Regions from separate parts of the Mus musculus genome. Here regions 2 and 3 are each reported to be linked to region 1. Evidence: microRNA targets listed by miRTarBase, many of them from high-throughput screens and not tested one by one. Region 1 holds a microRNA gene; each other region holds the end of a gene's coding sequence.

What was found. Region 1 holds the annotated microRNA mmu-miR-188-5p (CAUCCCUUGCAUGGUGGAGGG, at 2,836-2,856, opposite strand). A microRNA usually pairs through its seed, bases 2 to 8, with sites in the 3' UTR of a target mRNA and lowers its output. Matches are read on the target gene's strand: a 7mer-m8 pairs with bases 2 to 8, a 7mer-A1 pairs with bases 2 to 7 and ends in A, and an 8mer does both.
Region 2: the mRNA of Il21 is a reported target of mmu-miR-188-5p. Seed matches in the 3' UTR shown: 8mer at 1,185-1,192.
Region 3: miRTarBase lists Ubp1 as a target of mmu-miR-188-5p. Seed matches in the 3' UTR shown: 7mer-m8 at 1,414-1,420.

The regions. Positions count from the first base shown.
Region 1 is chrX:7,245,196-7,249,347 of GRCm38, forward strand. Mir188 (microRNA 188) reads right to left here and starts at 2,861; the gene lies at 2,794-2,861. All of the region lies in intron 2 of Clcn5 (chloride channel, voltage-sensitive 5), which reads right to left. Mir532 (microRNA 532) reads right to left here and starts at 3,302; the gene lies at 3,207-3,302.
Region 2 is chr3:37,221,964-37,225,963 of GRCm38, forward strand. It overlaps Il21 (interleukin 21), which reads right to left. Exons shown (of 5, transcript NM_021782.3): 4 at 3,486-3,563; 5 at 796-3,397. The coding sequence ends at 3,374. It overlaps Gm36168 (a long non-coding RNA gene), which reads left to right and starts at 2,434. Exons shown (of 4, transcript XR_389693.2): 1 at 2,434-2,525; 2 at 3,270-3,477.
Region 3 is chr9:113,974,870-113,978,869 of GRCm38, forward strand. It overlaps Ubp1 (upstream binding protein 1), which reads left to right. Exons shown (of 16, transcript NM_001372510.1): 16 at 477-3,158. The coding sequence ends at 514. It overlaps Fbxl2 (F-box and leucine-rich repeat protein 2), which reads right to left. Exons shown (of 15, transcript NM_178624.6): 15 at 2,089-4,000. The coding sequence ends at 3,964. Among named protein-coding and RNA genes, the nearest start is that of Ubp1, 46 kb to the left of the region's middle.

The DNA.
Region 1 (4,152 bases):
AGAAGTCTGCCTTTGGCTACTTCTCTCATACTTCATATCCAACATCAGAAAATCCAAATTGCTCTACATTTGAAGTACATTCATAACTACATTTCACCACTGTCAGCATCACCACCTCCCCAAGCCTGTCGGACCTCACAATACCTATATTATTTCAGTGGCTTCCTAGTAGGCCTCTGGAACTCTCCTGATTTGCCCAGTCAAAACGAGGGTTATGAAACAATTAAATATCTAAATCCCTAATAACTCTAACTTTGAATTATAAATAAGAACTTAAGCTGAATAATATATTTTATCTATTACTAACAGTATGAGACAAACATTTTGTTAATACTATTGATCATGAAGAAGTTTAAAAACAACTACCAATCCAGATGCAATGAGAACTCTGATGCCCACATAATATATGAACTCTAATACGTTATCTGACTTAAGGAAACAAATGCTTGTTGAAAGCATGTCATATGTCAGAGTGATGATGACAATGAGTAAGAAGCACTGTTGCATCCTTGAAGGCAGAGAAGTTATCAAGTAACTACTAGAGCCAAAGGACTGAAGGCCAACTAAGCTTGACTTTCAGCGACAGGGTCTATATTGGCACAGTACTCACTAAGTGGCCTATGGTAGCCTCAAACTTGCAATGATATTCCTGTCTTCATACCTTAAGTGCAGAGTTACAGACATGTGACACCATATTTGAAGAAGCTCACACTGGCAGAAGATGGAAGATTTGGGCTTCACTGCAGAGAAGAACTGCAATGAGGGAAAAACTAAATACATTTAAATCCCTGTGTTTATCAAAATAGTTTTTGAATGCATATCTTTGCAATAACTCATTTTTAGCCCTGATAAGAGAGTCAAGCATTTACCTTTTCTTTCTTAGGAAAACTGTTATTAGTAGGTAATCAAATAGTAAATGAGGGGAAGTTTTTACTTTACAGAAGTTACCCAGCAATTAACAGGAGGGTGAATAGTGGAATGCCACCATTCTACAACTGCTAATGAAATAATGGCTCTAGGATTTGAGCATCAATGGCAAACTACCGTAACACACAAAGACCTGTATCTCTGAATGGAGGCAGTTCTTTCCTCCCCACAAATTAAGCCTGAATCTAATAAGGCTCTTGGATACAACTCTCAATTAATAGGAAATGCAAATAAAAGGAGCATGGAAGCTACATCAGAGGAATGTGCTCATAAAAACACAAGACTGTGGAAAGCCACGCAGATATATGACCTACTTTCTTCCAACAAATAAGTATGAGGAAAAAGGTAAAGACGGGCTTATAATTCAAAGGCACTTAAAATACTGGCCAATGAAATTAATGCAAGGGTCTTATTTAGATCCTAGTTTATGATACCTCCAAAAGAAATGGAAATTTGAACAATGGATATATGATGTCAAAGAATCGGTAATTATTTCTAAACATGATAATGGCACAATGACTTTTGTTGGATTACAAAAAGAAAACAATCCTTCCTTTTGTGCAGATTCACACTAATCATCAGTGCTCTTCCCTCCATCTGTGACTGAAGCCTTCCACACTTCTGCTGCTGCTTCAATGGCATTGATGCTCTCAGTACACAGCAGCCTTTCCTAAAGGCTCCACTGGAAACTGAAATGCCACCACTTTCCCTACTATTGTCACTCCACGCATTACATACTTGTTTCCCTTGCTTTTTCATTCTCCTGGGCAACAATGACCCACTGCGTGTTTAATCATTTTGTTTACTGCCTTCATCTCCCTAATAGCCCTGATTAGTGCTGTGTACGTGGGTGCATAGGAAAATACTCAAAGTAAAAAAGATAACCAAGCGACATTTGCTGAATAGCCTACCAAACAAATCAGCTGTGAACCCTGGGTCTGGAACAGGATGAGGAAAAAAGTTCCAGCTTTCAAGAGAAAGAGTTTCAGTATCAAACAAAAAAGAACTATCCAAATAAATGTCTTAAAGCTATCATACACTCTCCTGCACAAAGAAATATATATGTGAGAAAGCAGGACACAGTGCGGGTTTTTCCACTCCCTGAAATCTAGTATATATGTGAACAAATGCATCTAAAGAAGTACGTGCAAATTTCCTCATAGCATAAGCTTATGAGAAATAGCTAGATGGCTTTCTTTCCAGCTAACTTGAGAATGAGAGTCCTGAGAAGGCTCTCTCTGCTCCCCTATATACAGGAAAAGCAAGACCAGGACAAAAGACTTCCCTTCTTTCTAAGCAATAACTGTCACCAAAGGTAAGGGTCCATACTCTGTACAAAATACAATACAAAATTAGAAGGTAAGAAGGCTGGAAATATAACTCAGTTGATAAAAGTATGCCTAGAACTCACAGAACCCTGGGTTCCATCCCCAGCACAGCAGAAACCAGGCGTACATTCCTATAATCCTAGCATTCAGGACAAAGAGGCATGAAGATCAGAATTGGAACATCAAGCCAGGCATAGCCACTCCAGTCTTATATCTAGCACTGAGAAGGCAGAGGCAGGCGAATTTCTGAGTTTGAGGCCAGCCTGGTCTACAGAGTGAGTTCCAGGACAGCCAGGGCTATACAGAGAAACCCTGTCTCGAAAAAAAGTGCTCCATCATCATCCTTAGCTATGCAGGGAGTTCAAAGGCAGCATGGGACACATGAGCCCTCCCTGGAGAAAGAAAACTGTGAGATGTGCATGTCAGGTGGAAGACAGGACAGATGGCTGTTTCCTTGGGTATGTGGGGTTTTCTTTATGAAGTTGTGTATGCATATGTCCACCATGCACAAGAGAGCAAGGAAAGCTGAAGCTCACCATCCTGCAAACCCTGCATGTGGGAGGGGTTTTCAGAGAGCTCACCCTCCACCATGCAAGGGATGTGAGAGAGGGAGCAGGGAAGGGTTCACTCTCTTGGCACAACAGGTAGGTACTTTCTATGGAAAAAGCAACAGAAAGCAGCCCAGGGATCACGCAGAAACAACAAACCAGCTACATGAAACTGATGGTGGGTAAGGCAGGAGGAACACACACATGCGGACCAAGAGGGGCATTACAGGCAGGAAAGTCACTTGGAAGAGATAGCGAATGGCAATGCTGTGTGTATATATATACATATATATATATGTATATATATATATATATATGCGCCACACAGAGAGCACATGAGAGAGAGGAGACATGTCTTTGCTGTAGATGTATATGCAGTCATGCCTATGCACAGGAGAGAGAAGAGAAGGCTTGCTCTCCTGCAAGCCTTGGGTGTGGGAGGGTAATTAAGATGTCAACGGTCCTACACTCAAGGCATGGAAGAGAAAAAGCAAATCTGTAGGCGTGCTCTCCTGTGTACAAATCAGCATGCATGTACAACAGTGTGTCTTTGTCTGTGTTGTATGTTGGTCCTGAAAGGTATGATGACTGCCTTAGACATAGCACAATGAAAAGGTGTATTTGTGAACATGCACATATATGCCTTTAGGAGTGTTCACTTCCTATGGACTATTTGTTTTTATACTCTTAATTATTCATTTTATTTATTCACTTTATATTCCACTCACTGCCCCCTCTTCCAGTTGTTTTTAATATTCTTTTCTTTTTATTCCCAATGCCAGTTTATATTTGCTCTTGGTAGAGTATTAAGTTGTGGTAATTTGTTAAGCTCTTCTATGTTTCTTTTTTTTAAATTAGATATTTTCTTTATTTACATTTCAAATGTTATCCCCTTTCCTGGTTTTCCCTCTGAAAACCCCCTTTGCCATCCCCCTCCCCCTGCTCACCAACCCACCCAGTCCCACTCCCCTGCCTTGGTATTCCCCTATACTGGTGCATCGAGCCTTCTCAGGATCAAGGGCCTCTCCTCCCATTGAGGTCCAACAAGGCCATCCTCTGCTACTTATGCAGCTGGATCCATGAGTCCCTCCATGTGTACTCTTTGGTTGGTGGTTTAGTCCCTGGGAGCTCTGGGGCTACTGGTTGGTTCATATTGTTGTTTCTGCTATGGTGGATGCTCTCATCCAACCACTGGATGAGAGCATTCACCTGAACCTCCACATAGCTAACACACTCCCCTCCCACATTCCTGAGCTAAAATTTATTAAATCTATATTTTATCTTTGCTGTCCTGAACCCTTTTGGGCAGCCCTTCTGGGGCCACCTTCCCCTTTGTGTAGTCTCCCCTC
Region 2 (4,000 bases), not on the chromosome of region 1:
GTCAGAGGAGGGAAATGACTCCAGTAGCTATGGAGGGTGTTTAAAATGCTCCCCAAGGTGAGCAGCCAGAACCAATGTTCGAATATGAAGTAGACCATCAGATAGGTGGGCACTCCACAGACAGGTTCCCGAGCAGGTGGAGGCACTATGTGTTGCTTGACTGTGGCTCCGGGCTCCAGGGACTCAGTGGCCAGGCCTCCAGAGCAGGTGAGTGCCGAGGGGTCTGGAAGTGTGGAGGCCCGGCTTCTGGTACAGAGGCAGTAGGAATATGATGGTCTAGCTAGGTGACAGGTTTCCATGCGTGAGAGTCTGGGCTGTGACCATGAGAGTGGCAGTGGGTAAAGTACACAAGTGCTCACATGGAGATGGTCAAGGTTCTGGGAGTTTCCCACTGAGAATCCTCCCCACTGAGGTCACCTGAGAGGGGAGCAGAGATTGGCAAGGAACATACCTAAGTCCTTGATGAGCACAGCCTGGTAACCCACAGACGCAGACAAGAAACATTGAGAATAAGAGACAGATGGCCAGATGAGAGCGACATGAACCCAGAACTGCAGTCTACATGGGACACACTTGTGAGACAAGCAAGTTTCAACCACTTCAAGCCTGCCAGGCATTCAGAGGGTGGTCTGCAAAGAGAGTGGGGTCTTTGAGCAAGAACACGGGATACTTCTATCTTAGTGGCAGTCAATAAGAAGTAAACATCTGTGCTGTAGCCATATAAAACCTATGCACCCACCTTTTCTACCAGGTTGGTTGCATTAAGGACATTCAGAGAATCACAACAGACAGTTGTTCTGACTGGGTAGCATTTAATATGATCAGGTCTTAAATAAGAAGCCATGAACACAAACATTCAAAACCAAATACATAATAAATAATCATTAAGTTATAAAGTACATCATTCATATTAAAACTAAATTCTCAGGTGTGACTGTAAATAAAACAGAGCAATAACATAGATCAATAATGCTATGAATTTATTCACAAAGAAAACACTTTCAGCTACAGTATTAACGGCCATAACTGATTTCCTCTGAACTCCTATGACCTACAACAACCTCTCTCTCTTTCTCTCTCTCTCTCTCTCTCTCTCTCTATATATATATATATATACATATATATATATATATATATGTATATATATATATATATATGTATGTATGTATGTATGTATGTATGTATATCCCTTCCCTTTTTGAACAACTAAATATCACACTTGGGATAAAATTTAACTCAAAAGTGTGGTCAGGTGTTCCTGTAAGAGTACTCAAAACATTAAAACTCAGACATACGAAGTTCAGAATAAAATACAGAATAGACTTAGGAAAGCCCCACATTCTTGTTCTACAGATAAGAGAATGAAAACCAAAAAAAGCTTACACCAGTGGCAACCTTCATGGACACACAACAGTGTGTCAGGTCCAATGTGTTCCCACCCACAGTGAACAATAATGTCAAAGGACTGGCTGAGTCTTGAGCACAGAGAGGTTCAAGACTGCTGTGCAATTTTGTCTAGTTTACTCTAAAGCGTAGCTTTCCCATGGCTAGTGGAGAAGCCTTCACTGGCTTTTCCAAACGATACAAGCTCTTAGCCTGTGCTGCATTGAATTATTTGTACTTCTTGATTAGAAATTGTCAGTGATTTAAAAGGCTAGAACAATAAACACACCAAAATAAATACATTGTCTTAAATATAAAAATCACAATGTCAAGAAGTCAACAGTTACACAGCCAGAAACAACAAAAGAATAAAACATGGAGACTCCCCTCTCTGTCCATCATTGCTTTGTGAAGGACTGCATCTCTGCTTCAGCTTTCGAGCAGCAAACTCAGCAACCAATGCTAGCACCATTGGACACTTACGTGGGCTATGTGTGTATAATGTCATCAACAGTCACACATTTACAGTTACACAAGTTCTTTGCAATACATATTTTTAAAGTTTAAGAGAATGCGTTGGTTCTGATTGTGACACTTTTCTGGGAATCAGTTAACACTAGTCTGTGCTATCTTAGGGCGGTACACGGGATCTCTGCTTGTTTTAAAGGCACTGTGAGGTACAGACACCTTTTTCCTTAGATCAAAACCATCCCCCAGGCCATGCTTGGATCTCAGATCCATTTTAACCATAAGAAATTCTCAAAGCGATGATACCACTCCAGGGAAAATAGCTTTGTAGACTTTTTAACTTGACATTGAAACATACTGTTGGAAATTATATCAAATGGCAAAACTATTTGCTCAATTTAGCCTCTGTGGTTAAAAGATTGGGATGTTCAGTAAAAGTCTGTTTAAAACTGGAACAGAACCTCTGGTCTCTTGGCTCATCTCCTGATTTTGATTTTAAATAGATGGTTGGATTTAACTTATCAAAAGTGTGCATGCAATGTGTCTTAAGTGCTGAACTTGTTTGGATTGCTTTTTCTTAGAAGTTTCAAAGAGGAAAGAAAGGAAAGGATGTGGGAGAGGAGACTGAGGCTGGAGCTAGCAGATTCATCACAGGACACCCATAACCACTTGAGGTGAGAGCTACAAACTTGAAAATTCTACTTGGCTCCAGAAGATAGTGAGGTTTGCACTTCCACAGGCTTTCATTGCCATCTTCACAAGATTAAACTATTAGCTTATAAAGGAACTTGACATTGGGAGGAAGGCAACTTAAGCCTGCTTCTTACTACACCCTTGCCTCTTTAGAAAAACAGTGAAAGCCAGGGGTGACCCTCATAATAGGTTAAATTTTGATAGACCTAATAGAGAAGAAAAACTGTACCTATCTGGAAAGCCTCTCTTGTAGAGTATAAAGATGTTAGTTATCAATATGCTAGATGTTTGTGGTAATGAGTAAACTCTTCAGACATGCTTTCAAGTACAAAGTTTTTCTTAAAGAATAAAGACTTCAATTTTCAATTTCATCTTATGCTTATTATTTCCAGCTTACATCATTCCGTTAGGATCATAAGAGGTCTTACTCTCGCAGATCGACAAATTCCCTAGCTGTATTTTTGCTAAAAGCTTTAGTTTTCCCCTTCCAATCAAAGAATGTCACAGTTGGGCAATAAGATGAAGCCACAGCTTGAGAAGCACCAGAAATCCCTGACACGGGAAGCTGGGCTCTTGTTGAGTTGAGATTTTCCATGTTGACAGCATGGAGTCTGTGCAGGGAACCACAATGTCTGCTTAGTTAATGGGCGAAAGGATCTTAACCTATAGCTTTTCTGAGTTGTTCTTATCATAACGTATCGTACTTCTCCACTTGCAATCCCAAGAGGCAAGATGTACTCCTGCATTCGTGAGCGTCTATAGTGTCCGGCGTCTCCTCAGTCCTCGGGAATCTTCTCGGATCCTCAGGAATCTTCGGGTCCTATGTGTTCTAGGAGAGATGCTGATGAATCATCTGTGGGAACGAGAGCCTATGAGTCACTGGGCACAGGAGGTACCCGGACACAACATGGAAGTGAAAGAAATGCATTTAAGGTGCATACCTTTTGAAGGAGCCATTTTAGTCTTTCTAGGAATTCTTTGGGTGTCCTTTTCTCATACGAATCACAGGAAGGGCATTTCTGTAAATCAAAATTAATCAATTAATTAATTAATTAATTTTAAAACTTTAAAAATTATTTTTTAAGAACTAACTTCATACTTCATAAAATACTTATGTAAAATTCATTTCTTCTCTTGTGAACATAAATCATATTCAGTAACAAGCATTAGGAAAATTCTGTAAAATTGTTCTGGAAACCACGTGTGATTTTATCCTCAGAGACAACTCTGAATATTTTGGTGTTTAAATTATTATATCCGTTTTTTGTCCCCTTTCTTCCTCTTCCTCTTCCTCGCCCTCCTCCTCCTCTGCATTCTTGTTACCCTGGTTGTTATATGCTGTTTGCTGTTAGTTTTTAACCAATTACAAGGGTTTCCTGGGCTTTAGATATGCTTTCAGGGCAGGATTTGTGGTGGCTGCTCTGTCGCTCCCCCTCCCACCCACCCCCACCCTGCA
Region 3 (4,000 bases), not on the chromosome of region 1:
CATGTCCCCTGGAGAGCACGTACCTGTGAGTCTGGGGAGCGCTGCAGCATTAGCTCCCACAGGGTCTCTCCAGCCTTAGCGCTCTCTGTCCACATGGACGCCTTCACTGAGTCTCAGGACTTCCTGAGGCCATTAGGTCTTGCTATATCTACCTCCGAGGGTTCAGTTTTCCAGCAAAGAGACCCATCTACAGCAGAACCTGCAGGCTGCCTGCACATTTTCTGCAGGGCTTTCTCAGCTCTGCCCTCACATGGTGCTTTGGCCTATTTTGCGTTAGCATACAAGTGCATCTGCTGCTGCTCTCTTAAGCCCTTGCCCTGTAGATAGAGCTGGCAAATGATGCAGGCTGGGCTCCCTGAGCAGAGTTACAGGGAATGTGTCTGAGGGAAGAGGAGCTAGAACAGTGCAGTCAGTTTTAATACTGTATCTCTTCTAAGCTTAGAAGTTTTAACACCCCCCTCTTTTTTTTTTTGCAGCTGAAAATAATGATGGTATTCACATAATTTTGAAGTGATACCTTAAACGGACTGAACTCTATCCAGTACCAAATAAAGTCATGCTTAAAAGTGTGTGAAGACTGAATCCAAGAAGTCTTGGGATTGGATTTTACTGTGAAATGTTTCATATTGAAAACACAAGATGACCTTCCTAAGGAGCTGCAGGAGAGGCAAATCTCCTCAGTGTCACTGCCACAGCCCCAGCATCCTCGTGAGAGAGAGAGAGAGAGAGAGAGAGCCTGTGCGAGCGAGCGAGCATGTCAGGTGACATTCGACCCAGCTTCTACCGTGGTGGGCACAAGTACTTGCTTCCCTGGCAAGGGCCAGTGGACAGAACCCCCCAGAGCAGTTGCTGCTGCTTTTCACACTGTATGCAGTTTGAATTGAATGTAAAACTCAACCGTGGGCATTTACCTTTCTGTGCCAGTTTGGCTTTTGTTGCCTGAACCTTATGCTGGCCTGGGGAGGAGATAGAGTTGCCTCTGGGGGAGCTGCTCTGTACTGGGTGACACGGCCGTATGGGTCAGGTAAGAGGCTTAGCTCCTTCCTGAAGGTGGACATCAGAGGGGTCCTGCTAGACCCGAGCCGAGCCGAGCCGAGCCGAGCAGATGAGCAGACTGCACTCCCTGTCAGCCATTCCGTGTGCGAGGTCAGTGTAAGTCCTAATAGGTACCGAGGCTTGGGCGTTTGGCTTGGGCTTCCAGTTTTAGCATTTTAGTTTCTGGATTTCACCTTTGAAACCTCCTTGCCTTTTAAACTCATGTGGTTTCCTTTTCTCGTCTCCCCACCCCCTACTTGAGCCTCCAGGTGTGTATACTCCCTTGTCTTGTGCCTACTCTGTTCTTAAACATGTCTAAAGCCCTTCCCAGACCTCAGAACTAGATGATGGGGAAACAGTATCATGTCTCTGATATTAAAGGGATTTTTTTTTTAATGAGACAAAATTACCCTGGAAACACTAGATGTCATAACAAGACACTAAAATGTATCATAAACCTTCCCCCCGCCCAAATACCGAGTTTCAGTACAATCATGGCTAGATGGTGGCTGGTGGGGGCTCTGTACTCTGCATCGTTCATGCTTTGTCTGTAGCAGGTGTGCCTGTGAGTCACGCGTGCACACGGCCATCACCTCTCCTCTCTCTCACGACCTCTCGTGAGGCCTGTGGCATATCCGAGTTTTTAAAAACTTCTTTCCATTTTAATTCTGTAGCATCTTTGCCCATTTGCTTAGCTGCTGGCTGTGAATGCGCTTGTCTGACCCTTGTTGTTCAGGTGGGTAGGAATAATTACATTTTAAATGAAATCTCTTCCAGAAGACAGACTACTTCAATGGGTAAAGGCTTTAACAGCTTGTTTTATTCATACTGGGGATTAATTACTTGCCACAAAACAAACTGTCTCGATAATTTTCCTCTTGGGTTTGGCAGTGCTGTAGCCTTGCAGGCCCTTTAGGAGGGAGCGCTCCCATCCGTCCTTCCCTTTGCTTTGTGTGACCACATGCTTTCTGTACCATTCACTTACTTGGGAAAGAAGTGGACTTATCTCCTAATTGTTTTAGAATTTTGCTTGTCTATTTAGCTTTCCTTTTTGGATCTCATGATTTATGGAACAATAAATGTCATTTAATGCTGTGTATTATTTTGAATTCATTATCAGGTTTTAGAAGTGGGGTGAAAGTACTTACAGGCTCCTCAGACTTGAACTTGTGCTGAGCAGCACAAAGTGCTAGGCCGTCTCAGTGAAACTATACCTGGCCCATGGCACCAGCAGTCTGCTACTTTGGTTATAGGATGTACAGTTCAGTGTAATAAATGTTTTCTGATTGTTTTGTAAACGTGTCACTCATTTCAAATCTAAGCTGCACTGTTGTCATCTGAAGTCACATGGACTCAAGGGTTGGCCTCGATGTGCATGGTGTAAGATGTTCATCCCAATTTCCACAGAGGTGATGCAACTCAAGACAAGTAGTTACAGTAAGTGCCTGCTGCATACTTAGAAGAGACAGATCAGGCTCGAAGTCATGGTCACTGAGCATCAAGTCCACCATCTGCAATGAGCCACATCATTCTAGCTCAGAAAAAATTCCATAGTTGTCTCGGGTATTTCATAGAAGTGAGTCTCACGAGTCACTGGAGCAGGTCTAGTGCTTACTTAGCAGCTCCTCCAGCAGCCATGCCCCACCCCCCACCCCCCACACAGCGCCACAGTTAAGTAGCTGTTGTGGTAGTCGTACCCTTCGTATCACAGTACTCCTTACAAGGAGCCGTTCGCCTGATGAGTCTCTGGAATGTGTGTGTATCTGCTTTCCCTCCCAGAGTGCATCGGAGACACTGCATCTATGCAGATGCTTCAGTGCTGTCCACCGAGGCAGAAAAAGCTCTTTCTTGCAGTTGTGGTTGGGGTGGTTGCTGGAAGGTTCAGCTACCATTATTAATATTGAAGGTGGGAGGTCTCAGTGGCACAGAGCAGCAGCACCGTAATAGTAAAAGACAGCATCCTGGGACAGGGACAGGAGTGCCTGCATTTGCAAAAATCTGACTCCAGTGAGCAAGGTGAGGTGTTGTGAGTCTGAAGCTGCAAATACGTCATTCATTTGACAAGCTTTAAAACAGTTATGATTTCTAAAAATTCAGAGTAAATAAAAACCACATCCATTCTACATGCATCTGTTTGTTATTTTTACTTGATTATAGATAACTTGAGCCTTAATTCTGGATTTGCTTAAGGTTCCCGCAAATTTTTTGAGAAGTGTGGATGGACATAATTGGCTTTTTCCTTTTAACAGAAATGCACTGTGTGCTGTGGCATCTGGCAGAGCTTGTAATTCCCAGCGGATCAATGCAAAGGGGGTGGTTTTGGTCCCTAGAGTTGGGTATGACGAGTTGACACAAACAGAAAGGTGAAGATCCTGCCCCACCCAGCTTAGAGGCCTTGTTTCTTTGGTGTCTTATGGAAGTATGTTAACATGCCTTTCACACACACTTCTACATATGAAACTACCAGCCATTCTGAGTTTGCAGTACAATCACGTTCATAAAGGTGCTATTTAGTCTTTAAAGTGGACAAGTCCTGCAGATGGACAGAAATTGCTGTGAATTACATTAGGCCACTGGCTTAAGGATCAGGTAGAAACCAGCAGGCTCTTTTACTCTGCTCAGGTTGTGCTAACACTGAAGGTGTATATATAGAATGCTGACAAAGCCAGGTGGGACTTGTATACATAGGTACCCACCTCTGATGGGCTCTAGGTTGCACCACACCACTCTTGCTGTGGATGACACAGACCTGGATTTGCTTGCATCCTAGCAGTGTTAAGGTGAATAGCATTACCAGGTACTGTAATCTGTGCTGAAGTCTTTTACCTGTAATGTTTTCACCATGGAGAGTCGAGATAGGGTGACGATGGAACAGCCAGGAGACTGGTCTAACCTGGAGGATGGGGCCCGTGGCCTAAGCAGCTGCTGTCAGAGTATGACACAGCATCTGCACAGTCGATGTCCA